Elephas maximus indicus: one gene and its partner. The protein of the gene in region 1 purifies or fractionates together with the protein of each later gene. This does not show direct contact. Links are inferred from orthologs where the notes say so. Each region holds a gene or a part of one and is shown in the gene's direction. Other genes may lie near its edges.

Region 1 (7,092 bases):
AATCTAAGGAAATGCTAATACTCTGATAAGCAAGGCAAGAAATGAAGTGAGACATTAACCTCTAGCTGTGGCTGCTTTCCCAGGGCACAATGAGATAAAAAGCAGCAGCAGCAGGTATGAAAAGAAGAGTCTATATCCTTTAAAGGAGCCTATTGGGATTTATGGTATAAAGCTCAGTACAGACCAGTGTGGAAAGACTTTAATATCAAGTTTGGAGTTTCATTTCTGGTATTAAGGAAAATGAATATTTTGGGACAGGATGAAAAAAGTATTTTAAAAGACTGGTCTAATAACTGCCAAAGAGAATTAGAGATGGTTGAAACTAACATCAAAGATACCAGCTGGAGGCTATCCCATTAATCCTGGAAATGAATGAGGACACCGACTCGTGGTAACAGTGGGAAAGGAAGACAAGCTACACAGTTCTTAGAGCACTTAGTGGTTATTCATGATTTAAAGAGACAGAGGCAGAAGAGGACTCTGTGGGTAAGGACTTTAAGAGAAATAACCTGGGATACAGCAAAATGATGTGGTATTCCTAGAAAAAATGAGCAAATAACAACTTTGCAAGATGATTAAAAAAAAAAAAACCATTGCACTCAAGTAGATTCTGACTCATAGCGACCCTACAGGACACGGCAGAACTGCCCCATAGAGTTTCCAAGTTGTGCCTGGGGGATTTGAACTGCCAACCTTTTGGTTAGCAGCTGTAGCTCTTAACCACTATGCCACAAGAGTTTCTTTCAAGATGAGAGGACACGTGAATTTATTTAAACTGTCTTCTTGGCAAATTAGGTTCATAAAATACAAACATTGACTCTCAACTCTAATATTAAGTTGTGTAACAGGACCCAACAAGTTCCACTCACATTTAAAACCTTTAAAGGTACATTTTCAGAAAGTGTGTGGCTTTCATAAGGTATTGGGCATAATTACACAGATTAAACAATGATTATCAAGAAGCGTCCAACTGATTCGATCAAGGCTGTTATAGGTGGGTCCCATAAAGTATTCATTAAGGTAATGAATGCAATATTTAGATAAAAATAAGATGTAAACAAAGAAAAAACAGGAGATTTTATAATTACCAAAAGGTTTAACTAAAGGCACTACAATCTTCTGGCCCAAACAATTACTTGTTTTTAGCATCCTTACCTGGTACCCTTTCTCCCAAAATTGATTGATAAAGAGCAATAAAAACGTTAGAATCACAGTCTTCAAGTGCATGTATCCGCAGGTGTATGTGACATTTCAAAAGAAGGTTATTGGCAATGGTTACCCACTCTGTTGGGAAAAGAGGGGAAAAGATCAACCTCAAATAGCATTAGAAAAAGTTACATACGTACTTTTAAAAACCAACAACCCCCCACCAAAACACTGAACTCTGTAGAAGATAAAGAATTTGATAGTTACAGAATTTCAAAGACCCTCCTAGGCATTTTAAAAGAAATATTTAATTTTGGGGGATGACTTCCAGGGAGCAATAATTTCAGTGTAGTCAACACTATGGGGTAAGTCCAATTTTTACTGTTGCAATCTGAAATCTTTGGTTATTTATGCATAGTTTTTTTTTTTTTTTAATAAGCCTTATATGTATTTTTTTTACAGAAGCCTTATTTAGGTAAAACATATTTACAAGTAAATAGGAATATTATGTAATAAAAACTAATTAATGGATGTTGCTTCACATTCCCAGTAGTACTGGACATGTTTTTACCCAATTCTCTTGTGCAAGTCAGGATTTCTCTGGTGCCCAAATAGGTGGTAATTAACCTAAGCTGTTAATCACTACTGCATTTTGTTAGTTTTTTAAATTACTGTATTTGATGTATATGAAAGGAAAATATGGGAACTACATAAACACATCCCCGTATCCATGACCTAAGGTCAGAACTAGCACATCACCAATACTGTTGAAGTTCTCTGTGTACCACCCTGTCCTTCCAACCCCTCTTCCCCAAGATACTTCTGGGATTAGCAAAGTGTTTCAAAAGTTTTCTCAACCAAAGGTAACTGAGAAAGCTGGAAATACTTGTTTCCTAAAATGATAAGCCATCAAGTGGAAACCAGCATTATTCAGTACTAGATATATCTTCATTATGTTCTTGAAACAAATGAGTATTATTGTGGGGGGGGGGTGTGGAGGAATAGAAATTTCTCTATCACTACTGTTTTCCTTCAAAGCGCACTACTCCTTCTCCCCATTTCCCATGGTTGACAAAACCATGACAACTGGTTTGTACGCTGTCCTGGAGAAAGCGTCCTAGACAACCGAATCAATTGCCTTCCAAAGCCGGTGCTAGACAAAGCCGGTATCTAGAGGGCACTAGAAAGAAAAAAAACCTCAGGGCTTCGAACCGATTCATCCCCCTGTTGAGAATTTGCATTTTCACCCCAGATATACTGAACTAGAATCTCCATTTTAACAAGATCCCCAGGTAAGTCTTAAGTATGTTAAAGTGTAGATTCTGACCCAGTATATCTGGGGTGAAAATGCAAATTCTTACGGGGTCGAACAGGAACGAACGGTTCGAGGCCCTGAAAAAAAAAAAAAAAAAAAACCACTGTTCTATATTGGGGAAACCCTGGAGGCACAGTGGTTAAAAGCTAGACTGCTGACCAAAAGGTTGGCAGTTCAATCCACCAGGCGCTCCTTGGAAACCCTATGGGGGCAGTCTGACTCCCTATAAATCAGAATCGACTGGACGGCATTGGCTTTGGTTTTTTATACTACATTAACAGGGACCTTAACAGATCTTAAAAGTGCTACTCTTCAAAAGTTCACTGGCAGATACGTAAGCTGCATAAGCGCTGGGTGGCTATGGGAGTACACCTACGAACGAAAAAAAGAGCACTACTCCTCAAAAACTCAATACAAATACAGGTACGGCCTCAGTCCTCGCAATGTAAGGACATCGACAGCCAGATACTCCAGAGAAGTCGGGAGACGATCTTTTCTGACTGCTGTTTTTGCGATCTGCATGCGGGTGTGTTGGCGGCTTCGTCAAAGAGCCCTCTCTCCCCCACCCCAAATCGCTGTTCCACCGTCACGAAGCAGAGAGCGGTGCTGGGACTCTTATCTCTGGCACCCGCAGACTGCGACGGGATATGTGACAATCATGAATCTCGCAGGCAGCCTAGACTTAGGTTCGGCCCGGCCCGAGGCCTCAAAGTGGCCTGGGGCGTTCGGGGAGTCGGACCGCTTCACTCCACACACAGCACGGCGCCAGGGCGAGACTCACCAGGCTCTGAGCCGGCCATGTCGCGGAAGCAGGTCGTCGCCGGGCTCCCAGCCGGGCGCGTGGGAGACGGTGTCCTGGAAGGGCCGCACAGCACAGACACACAAAAACGAGAGGGAAGTGTGGATAAAGAGGTGTAAAAGAGGGAGGGACGTTAAAACGGCTTCTCGCTGCTGATTGGTCATTGGAGGAGCACTCGCTTTCACCGCACGTGCCTCGGCGGCGGTTTGCGGGATCTAGATAACATTCTCCGCGGGCAAGAGCCTGCCAAGAGGTTCTTAAGTCGGTGAGTTTGACAGGTTAGGTCACCCACCCGCCTTGACCGGTCACCGGGGGAATTACAACGACACTTCCGGTGAGTTATTTGATTGTGTATTCCTCCGCTGACTGGGAAGTAGTGCGGCAATTCACCCGGTGGGCGGGGAAGCCAGTCACGTGATAAGATCAAGCCCCGCCTTCCCTTGTTTGGTTTTGGGCGTGAGGGCTGTTTGGAGACGTAAACATTTCCAGGTGGGGAGAGTAGGTTGTCCTGTAGTGGACGCTTGATTTTCTGGGTTGGACCTGGAAAAGGTTGAGGTGGATTGCTTAAGGTGTGTAAAGAGGAGAAAAAGGCGAAGTTTTAAGGAAATACAGGATGGGGCATTTCAGTGGCGGACGGGTCCAAATATGAAAGGGGAGAAAAACGTATGGCCCCAATGGATGGACTCGGAGGGGGAGGGGTGAGAACATGGCGGATTCCGGAACGCAGGCGGGCGTTGCGGCCTCTGCGCAGGGGGCGGGGCGATTAGGTCATAGAGCGGTTCCCAGCATCCTTTGCGGTGGAGGAGGCGGTCCAGACTATAAAACCGGCTGCCGGGAGGCGGCCGGCACCTCATTCATTTCCATCGGCCTTTCGTTATTCAGCTCTAGGTCTTGCTGTCGCCGTCTCTCCGCCGCTGACGCCCACGCAAGGGTTCGCCGTCGCCGAAGCCACCCCTAAGAGACTCTCCGCACCGGCTTTTTTCGCTTCGTTCCCCACCAACCGCAACCATTGACGCCATGTCAGGTTATTCGAGTGACCGAGACCGCGGCCGGGACCGAGGGTGAGTATGGGAACCGACCTGTCAGGCCCGACGAGTGGGGGATGGGCGGGAAGTGGGTGGCGGGGGCGCCGCCATCGGCACATCGGCTTTTTCGGCCTACGCCGAGGTCTTCTTAGTTAAGGGTTTGCGCCGTTGTGGTAGTTTTCTAAAACCGGTTAGGGAGGACTTGCTTATTAACGGCCTTCAAGCTGCCTTTTTTTTCTCCCCCGCCCCTGGAGCGGGGGCGGCGCGCCCTCGGCGATTTTGCAGTTGGGAGAATTCGGAGGCGTGTATCGCGAGGGGGAGGAAAACGGGATGCCTCGGGGTGGATCAAGTAGCCTCGGTTAGATGCACCCTTCCGGGAGGTGTTTTAGGGGTTCAGGGAATTCTGTGGAAGCGAGGGGCCCGCTTCCGCAGCCATTGAGGCGGTGAAGGCAGGAGGGTGGCTGGCGCCGCCGGATTCGCCCATGTGGCTGCGCCGCGGGTACAAAATGCCGGCCTCCGACATGGCGGCGGCGCCTTTGTTACCCCGCCCGGCGGAGGAGCTCAAAATGGCAGCGTCGAGAAAATGTGGCGCAGAGAGAAATGCGAGACAAAGGGGAAAGCGCCGCCCCAGCGGGAACGCCGCCCGACCGACTCCGCCCGGGCGGGACTCCTCCCCCGGTAGTCGCCGGCTCCTCCTCCTTTTTTTCCTTGTGTTATATAATTTACCTACCTTGATGGGGAGCTTTCCCAAGGGACACCCCCAACCCCCAACTCGATTCCCTTGCATAAGGGTCCCCGAGGCACCGTCCCCGTTGTTTTCTTTTTATTATGTCTCTGTGTTATCGATTGTTAAAACCAAAGTTAAAAAATAGGGGTATAAATAACATTTGTCTTGGGCTTGTCCTTTTTTGTATCATTTCGTTTCCTGGATGTTTAATTTCTAAACTGGTGGGAACCACCATAGTTACAAGCTATTGTCTATCCATCTAATCGGAACTTCCAGCATTTTGGTAGCCAGTTTCTGACATAATAAGTTGGGGGCTGTTTAGTGTTCTTAATTATGTGTATTTGAGATGATAGCAACTGAGATACACAATGGTAACCCTGATTGTTGAATGACAGCTAAGTGTAGTTTTAGGCTTTGTGTTCCTTAAGTCTGATTTGAGTGAGCTTTAGCAGGTGCTAAGAGATGGTAAATAAGTCTTTCAGCCCATAGGTAGAGATTGGAAGTCTGAATTATTCTGTAATTTCAGGTTTGGGGCACCTCGATTTGGAGGAAGCAGGGCAGGGCCCCTGTCTGGAAAGAAGTTTGGAAATCCTGGGGAGAAGCTAGTTAAAAAGAAGTGGAATCTTGACGAACTGCCCAAATTTGAGAAGAATTTTTACCAAGAACACCCTGATTTGGCTAGGCGCACAGCGGTGAGTAATTTCATATGGCTTCATCAGGCTATGGAACCCAGTAACGGCTTCTGGTAATAAGAAGCTGAGTGCAAGTGTCTTGCAAATGACTAGATTTGGGGAGATTCATACCTTCCAAGTTGATAATAGGGGAAAGCTGTGTGATTCACTTTTGGAAACAGGTGGCTTTGAATTTTCCTTGGAACAGTTATCTTAGGATAATAGGTGGTTTTTACGTGTTTTAAATACGGTTTTTGTACATGAATCTAGATTTTAAAATCACTCACTTTAAAGTAGCAAATCGTAAGTTTAGGGGCTTTCTAGTTGCATATTTAGTTAGGGTGGGTTGTTAGGAGACTTACGAGATTAATGTTGTTTTGCAGCAAGATGTGGAGACATACAGAAGAAGTAAGGAAATTACAGTTAGAGGCCACAACTGCCCGAAGCCAGTTTTGAATTTTTATGAGGCAAACTTTCCTGGTAAGTGTTTGTTCTGAATTTCACATTTACTATTTCTTTGTCTTGGCATTACTGAGTTTTGTTAAATTGCTGTCGCTATTTACAGCAAATGTTATGGATGTGATTGCAAGACAGAACTTTACTGAACCTACTGCTATTCAAGCTCAGGGATGGCCAGTTGCTTTAAGTGGATTGGATATGGTTGGAGTAGCACAGACTGGATCCGGGAAAACGTTGTCTGTAAGTTTTGAGAGAGCACTTTTGCATACCCTGTGGTATGTGCTAGAGAAAATGGCTTTGGAATTAAAAGACCCTGGGAGTATTTTAACAAAACTTCTGTTTTTTCCTCTGTTTTTCCCCACCCACAACAGTACTTGCTGCCTGCCATCGTCCACATCAATCATCAGCCGTTCCTAGAAAGAGGTGATGGGCCTATTGTAAGTATGTACTTCATGAAGTTCCATAGTAAGGAGGATATAGAAATTTGTAGAATATAGAGAAAAACAAGATAATTGGTGGTTTCGCGTAGAGAGATTAGTTGGAAACTCTGCTGTTTTGGCTTTTGGACAGCACTGTTGAGGAAACGGAAACCCTGGTGGCGTAGTGGTTAAGTGCTACGGCTGTTGACCAAGAGGTCATTATTTAAAATCCACCAGGAGCTCCTTGGAAACTCTTTCGGGGCAGCCTACTCTGTCCCATGGTGTCGCTATGAGTCAGAATCGACGGCAGTGGGTGGGTTATTGAGGAAATGATTTCCAGCATAACACTAATAAATTCACAATTGAAGATGAGAGTCCAGGTCTTTGCTAAAAGTTGTTTGTTTTTCCTTAGTGCTTGGTGCTGGCGCCAACTCGGGAACTGGCCCAACAGGTACAGCAGGTAGCTGCTGAATACTGTAGAGCATGTCGTTTGAAGTCTACTTGCATCTATGGTGGAGCTCCCAAAGGACC
Region 2 (7,811 bases), on another chromosome or scaffold:
AATTATAAACCCACCAAAGACAGCAGTACTTAGAATACACTGAGGCTGTTTACCTTTGCAGTTAATAAAATTAAATATTATTTCGTTTGTTTTGTGCTTTTCCAAGCCAAATGTATATTTATTTTTTCTCACCGTTTCCACTAAATGTCAGTAAAATTAGAACATTTCAGCTACACGAATCACTAATCCTTCAAGATCGGTCTCAGCTTCATTGGTCCTAGAGCAGCTTTAACGAAATAGTTGTCGCGGCATAGTTGATTTTACCCGTAATTTTTCGTTTGCCTTTTTTTTTTTTCCTTGCAGGGGTTGTTTGGTTTTGCTTAAAAAGACCCTGGGGAGCACAAAGGGGGCTAGGAAGGGAGGGGGCAGGACGAGTGAATTTCTCTAGAAGCCAAGGGAAGTCCAGGCAACTGGAAACGCATTTTTTGGTTGTTTTTACAAGAAGAAAAAAAAATATATATATAAATTCTAAGATGTTGGAAACAGGCAGGGAAACGAAAATGTGACTCCAGTTGCTGAGCATGGCGCAAACCGACGACCTCCGGTCGCTGGACGTTGGGGGAAGGGAAAGGAATTGTGCGGGCACCACGCGGTCAGCCCAGGGGGCGGGGTCCACACACCGCAGAACTATTTTCTACACCTCCCTTTCAGCTACCATCTTCTTTCCTCCCTGGGGATTGGAGCTGGGAGCAAGCAGTTAATAGGGTAGGGAGAAATGAGAGTAAGAATCTCACTCCTCAACAACAAAACCATCGAGAGGGAGCAAAGGGTTATTTTCGCGCCACAAAAGATGGAAATCCAGGGGCTGCTCGGGGGCCAATGAATGGAAACCAGCAAACGAATCCGGCGGAGGTAGCCGACGGTGATAGGCTCCCTTTCTGCACCAATCGGATAAGAGGGAGAAGCCCCCCGCCCCCTCCTTCAGCCAGGGGCGGTGTTTCTCTCGACGCCGGTTGCTCAACTTGGTCTCGGCGAGTCAGCCTCGCGGAGCGCGGGAGCCCCGCCCCGGGGCCGCGTTTGCGCGCCCTGTGCGCGCATCTTGCTGCCCCGCCCCGCCCCGGACAGAGGCGCAGGGTTCGGTGATGGCTTTTTGCCTTTTTCCGTGGGTACCAAGCATCCCCTTGCGCCAGGCAGTCCCTCGCACACATGAAGCTGAGGCCGGAGGTGCGGGAAGGCCGTCAAACACGCTGCTTGGTCTGTCGGGCCGCGGGGGAAGGAGGACTTCAGGTGGAGTCGTGCCGCCGAGGAAACGACTGAGGTTTCTCCCGGCGCTCACGTCCCACCGGCCTTGCGGCTCCGCGCCGAGTGACGGGACCCGAGGCGAGGCCCGGGGGAAGGTGGATCAATGGTCAAGGCCCTTCGTGGCGAGCAGGCGGCCGACGAAGGACCTTCCCCAGTGTGCTGTAAGGATCCCGCCCTCTTTCTCGGGGAAGAGCCAGAGGAAAAAGGAAACAACCCCCATCTTCTCGTCTCCCGGGGCACCATTTTTAATTTCAAACGATAATAAACGAAGGTAGATTCTGGAGAGTCACGTTACCCCTTATCACGCCTCTGGTTTAAACAGATCAGAGTCCAGGAGAGCCATTCGAAGGAGCAAGAGCGTGTTAAAATACCTCCTGTGAGGCCCATGCGACGCGGCGGGCATTGTGTGCCCACCCGCATGAAGGGCTTAGGCTCCCAGCTTGTCTCACGGCAGCTGGGAGGAAGGACGGGTAGGAACAGGAATGTCCTTTCCCCTTCCTGCGCAGCCCTCGCAGATAACCTGTGGATACAGCAATGGTAACCGATCTTCTCAACATAGTTTTTCTCCCTTAATGTCACACTGACCCCCTAAACATTTTTATTGCGATTAGATCAGCAGATAAGGAGGTGCAGCTGTCCAAAGAGTAAACAGGCTGCAGATGGAAAAACTCAGCCGCAACTGAGATACAATAATCGGTGGGAGTCCTTTTTTCATGTCATCAACATTAACTAGGAGCTACAACTGCTTCAGGAGGAATCTGGAGTAGCCTATACACAGTTAATTTCTTGTGTGACACGTAGTGGAATACTGGAAGTTAAATTGACCTTATACTGACTCTTGAAAATCTAAAGATATTTTTGTACTTAAAGTGCCAATAAAAAATACTCATGCTCTTTTTGCTCTGCTATTGAGCTTATTATACTTATTCCTCAAATGCTTGGAAGATTCGAAGTGGACTGGCCTATATAGCGACCTCCTTTTGTTAGTGTCTGAGCTTATATAATGTGTATGTTTTTAAGATCCTAGATGGGGTATCCATTTTGTTACAATAATAGATTAAGTTCACAAGAGTCCCAGGTACATATTTCATCAAAACAACACACATTTTGTTTTAAATTCCAGCTGTTATAGGTTTGATAGTGACAGACTGGCATGGGCTAGTGTTATGGAAAATAAATCATCCACCCCATGCTTTAGAAGTATTTAGGTCTTAGTTTTAATAAGGGCAAATACAATCAATAATCCATCAGTCACCAATCGATTTAGAAAGCAAGCTGAACATACAAAATTTGTTCTTACAGAAAAATTACTAAAAGAATTAAACGATCAACAGACTTGTCTGTAAAATTTAAAGTAACATTTAGAAAAAGCAAAGATTATTAAGTGCACATTTCTCCAAATAGTTTTGATCACATGCAACAGGTACACGAAAAAGAAATATATTTTGATATTTACATTTGCATACCAAAGAAGTCATAAGGGAGAAGACGTATGTTTTTCTTTTTTACAACCATGGTTCCTTTAAAACACACACAAAAACTTTCTTTTAAAGTTAAACCTAACTATAAACTTGAATTTCACCACCAAAACGTTTTTTCAAGATAGGGCTCATAATATAGTTCTAAACACTGTTACATGTTTGTCCCCCATCTCATAAAGTAAAAGCATTTCATTAAATTAACCGTCAATGAAAATATTGTGAATGTGAGTATACATTTAAAAAAGTGGATTTGCTTGGCTGGAAAGAAAAACCTGTTAAAACAGTTGCACATAAAATGGATGATCTGACACCTTCCAGTTAAAATAAGACAAACTTATAAGTTCCTTTTAAAAGACAAAAGGTAAATACTTAATGCAATATATTCCTGTTTGTCTTTTATAATCTGCCATTCATCTTTTATCCCTGGAAATTACATCGTGTTAATAAAAAAAAATTTTTTTAAATGACACACACGATTTCGACAAAGAAACGAACTACATCAGTTGTAATTGTTTAAGATGTTTCCAGTTAAATCACATTATTTTCTCTATTACACAATACATCTTTTTCTACCGATAAGATTATCAAGTCATTAAAATTTCTTGTTTATATTTCCATGCTATAGACAATTTCATTCACTTAAAAAGGTTAACATTTGTGTCTTTCCCATGGAATACCTGTTAAAAACATATACCACAAGTATATGGTACAAATGAAGCCTTTGAGTGGTAGACAATTATTAAACGACACTTCCAGATTTCCCCAAGCACCCCAGCACTGCCTTCCTTTCCGTATTCCTCGTCCCCAGTCCACGTTTCGTCGGCCTGGAAGGCTTCACTGTGCCCAGACCCTCCCCCACAGACCCACCTTTGTACTCCTTACATGGAAAATTATGAATGGCTCTCATGCCCAAACGCTAGCAGAAAAAGAAGCAGAAGGAGACTCGTACAAATTTTGCAAAGGCGATTACCAGCTAGAGGTAACGCAGAGCGGTCTTCCTGTTTTAACAGTCTCTAGTTCGACAACTAAAATTATTTAAATAAAAGTACCACCCTACTTACTCCTCCCCCCGCTCTAGAAGCTACAGGAAGAGAGAGTTTCCCTTTAAGTATCGACTTTTCCCACTCTGACTTCTCTCCCTCAGCCTCCAAAGCCCCCGACGGCCCCATCCCTAAACCAGAAACCTCCGCCCTCCTCTCCCCCTCCCCCACCGGTGGCCGCGCCCGCCCCCGGCCTCATTTATCCCCGAGCCTTTTCTGAAACGCGCAACCAATGGCAAACGCGCAGCCGAGAGCCACAGGGAGCGGAGGCGGAGGCGGAGGCGGAGGCGGAGGAGGTGTCGCCCAGATACCCGCCCAGGACGTCGCTGGCTCCCATCCCCCACAGCCCCGGCCCTGGGATCCTGCAGACAGGCGCTCTCGTTTCCCCGGGCCGGGAGGGGTGAAGAGAACGGGGCGCTTCTGCCGTCTCTCCGTCCGCACCCACCCCACCCCCTCTCTGCGTTTCCGCCCCTGGCAGCCGTGGAAACGTGCTCGTGGCTTTGCCGAGGTTACACATAATGTCATCAAAGCCACAGGACTAGTTCAGAATTGTGGCTCTAGTTTTGTTAATCACCTACTTTAAAAACAGAATGATTAAAACTCAGAGTTGAGGAATCGTCTAGTTAGCACTCCCACTCTTTTACTCATTAAAAAAAAAAAAAAATCAACATTCCAACCCCCGCCCCTCAGGAGCCGCCCCGACCAGATAACCCTTTCTAAACTCTTGTTGTGACAATCAGCTCCCCGCTTAGCCTGGCGCCCGGCTGCGGCTTCCTTAGCATTTTTCCTCCTCCCCCTCCTCAGAGTCCCTTGCCTAATCTCGTTTCCCCTCCCCCTCTTCCTCCTCCTGCTTGCTCTTTCCCCCCCACTCCTCGAAACCCACTCTAATTGAGGCGCTGGGATTCCTCACGTGAGACGTTGATTTGTAGTTTGAACACGTGGCTCATTCAAAAAGCCGGACACTCGGAGCGGATTTTTTCCGCCTCCTGCGCTTTCTTCCCTCCTCCCCCTCTCCCCTCGCTCCTGCCAGTCACCCTTCTGGGTTTTTTTATGGGGAGGCGGCGCTCTGCCCTCACGTAGTGTGATATTTTCACAGTCCGCTGGCCGATGCCAAAGGGGTTGGGGAGGAAGAGACAAAAAGTAGTTTTTTTTTTCCCTCCTCCTCCTCTTTTCTCTCGCTAATCCCGCCTCCTCCTCAGAGTTAGGAAGACTCGTTCATGCGTCTGGGTTGTAGCAAGGCTTTTTCTTTTTCATTTTTCTTTTTTTGTACCTAGAAAAGGAGAAGCAAGAACCTTCAGACCTGATATTTCGCTCCCCGTTCTCGCCCTTGTTTTTTACTGGGTTTGTGCATTTTAAAGGCGAAAAGACGAGGGGAACAAAACCGCCAGATCCATCCATTGTGGGTGGTTTTAATTTTTCGTTTTTCTATTATTAGTTTTTTTAAACTACCAGTCTTCACAATGAACAAACTGTATATCGGAAACCTCAACGAGAACGCCGTTCCTTCGGACCTAGAAAGTATCTTCAAGGACGCCAAGATCCCGGTGTCGGGACCCTTCCTGGTGAAGACAGGCTACGCGTTCGTGGACTGCCCGGACGAGAGCTGGGCCCTCAAGGCCATCGAGACGCTTTCAGGTGGGCCCCGGCCTGGCCCCACCGGGGCGCCTGCCCCAGCCCTGCGCCGCCAGCCCCGGCCCGCCGAGGTCGGGTGCCCGGAGTCAGGCCTGTGGCTGCCGCCGGGGCGTCCGCGCGGGGCCCCAGGCCCGGCGAGGAGCCGGTGGAGGGTGTGAGGCCCGAGCGTCCACTCGTGTGGGGTCGGGGTGCTCTCAGATTTGGCTCTAGCTCCGCTCCCCCCCGTCTCCCCTCCCCCACCGGGGTTTGCCGGGCGAAGGTGGACCCGCTGTCAATAAAACCAGGGCCAGGGCTAGGAGGGGCGCGAGGGGCGGCTGCGGAGCCCGTGCGCGGGGATGGGGGGCGCGGCCGCCCGCACCGGACCCCCGTCAGCGCTGCCACCGCGCCCAGCCCGGGCCCAAGCGCGTTCTCTCGGTTTCCACACACCGGGCCGGGGGGGGGGGTGGGGGCGAGTGTGAATGCCTGCTTCGCCTTCCTTTCTCTGGTCGTTATTTATGGCGCTGGGTTCGCTGCAGACACCCAGACCCCGGCAGTGTGAGAAAGGAAAGAGGCTCGAATCTCTCAGCCGAGTGAGGCCGCGGGCTAGTGCCTTGCACTGGCGGCCCCGCGCTTCCTCCCGACCCTGCGGGAGGGGAGCGAGTGCGACCTGGCTTTCATTTTCAACTGCACTCTGTCGGACGAGCAAGCTGGGCAGGTGGGCGGGGGTGGCCGGTTGTAACCGGCGAGGGAGCCCCCGCTGCGGCGCTGGGCCGCCGGCGGCTCTCCGGAACCCGGCGCCCGGCTGCGGCCTCCGGAGTGGCGGCGCGCCCGTGGTGCCTGGCGAGGGCAGGAGACCGTGCGTGGCGGGGCGGCGGTCTTGGGCTGGGACTCCCAACAGGGAACCTACGCGGGGGTGCTTTTGCGAGCCCAGTGCCTTTCGGTGTCCCCCTTATCAACTCAGTACAGTTATGGGCGCCGCGCCGACCTTCGCGCGATGTTCAGTCTGGGCTGAGATGCAGCTCTGGGCGTTCGCTCTTCTACCCCGCCGCGCTCTCGACCCTTTCCCGCTACACTTCGTCCTTTCCAACCCTACCGCAAAGTGTTCCCGGCGGGCCTGGGCTTGAACCGGGTGAAAGGCCCGTGCGCCCCCTCCTGAAAGAAGCTAATGTAGCCCCTCTCCCTCCGTTTGTCGTATGGGAGTGTCCAGGGAGGTGGGAGGAGGGCCGCGTCCATTTTGCGGGTGTTGTGGGGTTGGGTGACCCTCTGAGTGGCCAGGGGAGGCTTGTCGGGAGGGGGTGGAATGTTACTGAAATAGTGGGCCTGCCAGTTGATCCCACTCCCCACAAATCTGTAAACTAAGCACACACACACACACATAGCCGGGAGGTCATGCACAGTGTAGGGTTCCCTCTCGGCCTTTAGCCGCGTCCGGGGCTTGGGGGCCTTTCGGGCTCTCAGGAGGCCACTCGTCGCTGCATAGGCTGTTGAGGGTCCTTTGGGTTCGAAGAGCCGCTGAACCCAGCCAAACGTTTCCCACTTCTTGTGTGCCCACAGGTAAAGTGGAACTGCATGGGAAACTCATAGAAGTTGAGCACTCGGTCCCAAAAAGGCAAAGGTGAGTTTAATAATTCTTTTGTCACGGATTCGTTACTGAAAGACTCCTTTTTTACACAGCTGAAAACAATTTTTTTTTTTTTTGCCTCCTATGCTTGTCGGGCTGCTGTGTGGCTTGGCGTTTCTCGTCATTTCCCCTCACTTTTAAGTTTATGGCAGCTGTGTGTGTGTGTAATGCTGCGAAGGAAAAGAGGGGTTGTCTGTGGCCCGGCAACTAGGTTGTTGAATATAGCAGTCTCTCAAGGAAGCTCTCACAGCTAAATATTCTCTGGCAGAGCAGGTCAAGTTACTGCAAGGGGAGATGAAGTCTCCAAGGGGAGTGTTTTGGGAATCCGGGATTTAGCAAGCAGTAAGCAGTGGATGACCGATGCCTGTAGGTACTGGGTAGGCGAAAGCAGCTGCAGAAATGCTCGGGTGTGGCATGCCCGCCCTTCTCTGGCCAAGTTGGCGACGATGAGTCTCTGAGTCTGCCAGGCCCTAGGCACATGAGAGGAGAGGAATTTGCCTTTACCCTGTTAGCTCACCAGCTGGGATTGGAACACGTGAGTGAACGCTTGGGCTTCTCCACCCTAGAAATGCCTTCCAGTCCCTCCAAAGTTACATAGGTTTCTGCAAACACCGCCTTTGTCTCCGCTTCCTTTTTTTTGAAAGACATTTTTGTTTACAAATCTACCACCGAGAGATCGTGAACTCTGATGATTTGTGCTACGTAAAAGCAGGGGGATTTCTCCTTCTCTGAGAGCATGTGTAGTGTCACTTGACAGAATATTTTGGAGACTGTTTTAGCCTCTGAAGCATTTTGGAGAAATGGCTCCTTTCTCCA

Evidence for each region. The genes of interacting proteins can lie anywhere in the genome.
Region 2: the proteins of DDX5 (region 1) and IGF2BP3 fractionate together in Homo sapiens (co-fractionation; 3 studies listed by BioGRID, with this or other methods). This does not show direct contact. The link is inferred for Elephas maximus indicus from reciprocal best matches to the Homo sapiens genes DDX5 and IGF2BP3.

The regions. Positions count from the first base shown.
Region 1 is NC_064837.1:55,713,896-55,720,987, reverse strand, and holds the start of DDX5 (probable ATP-dependent RNA helicase DDX5), read left to right. Parts: upstream 1-4,092; 5' UTR 4,093-4,277; coding exon 4,278-4,321; intron 4,322-5,538; coding exon 5,539-5,704; intron 5,705-6,066; coding exon 6,067-6,163; intron 6,164-6,248; coding exon 6,249-6,382; intron 6,383-6,513; coding exon 6,514-6,579; intron 6,580-6,973; coding exon 6,974-7,092. Other genes in the region: CEP95 (centrosomal protein of 95 kDa), read right to left, coding at 1,156-1,284, 3,243-3,261. UniProt on the Homo sapiens protein: Involved in the alternative regulation of pre-mRNA splicing; its RNA helicase activity is necessary for increasing tau exon 10 inclusion and occurs in a RBM4-dependent manner. Binds to the tau pre-mRNA in the stem-loop region downstream of exon 10.
Region 2 is NC_064826.1:84,499,670-84,507,480, reverse strand, and holds the start of IGF2BP3 (insulin-like growth factor 2 mRNA-binding protein 3), read left to right. Parts: upstream 1-4,793; 5' UTR 4,794-5,223; coding exon 5,224-5,398; intron 5,399-6,928; coding exon 6,929-6,989; intron 6,990-7,811. UniProt on the Homo sapiens protein: RNA-binding factor that may recruit target transcripts to cytoplasmic protein-RNA complexes (mRNPs). This transcript 'caging' into mRNPs allows mRNA transport and transient storage.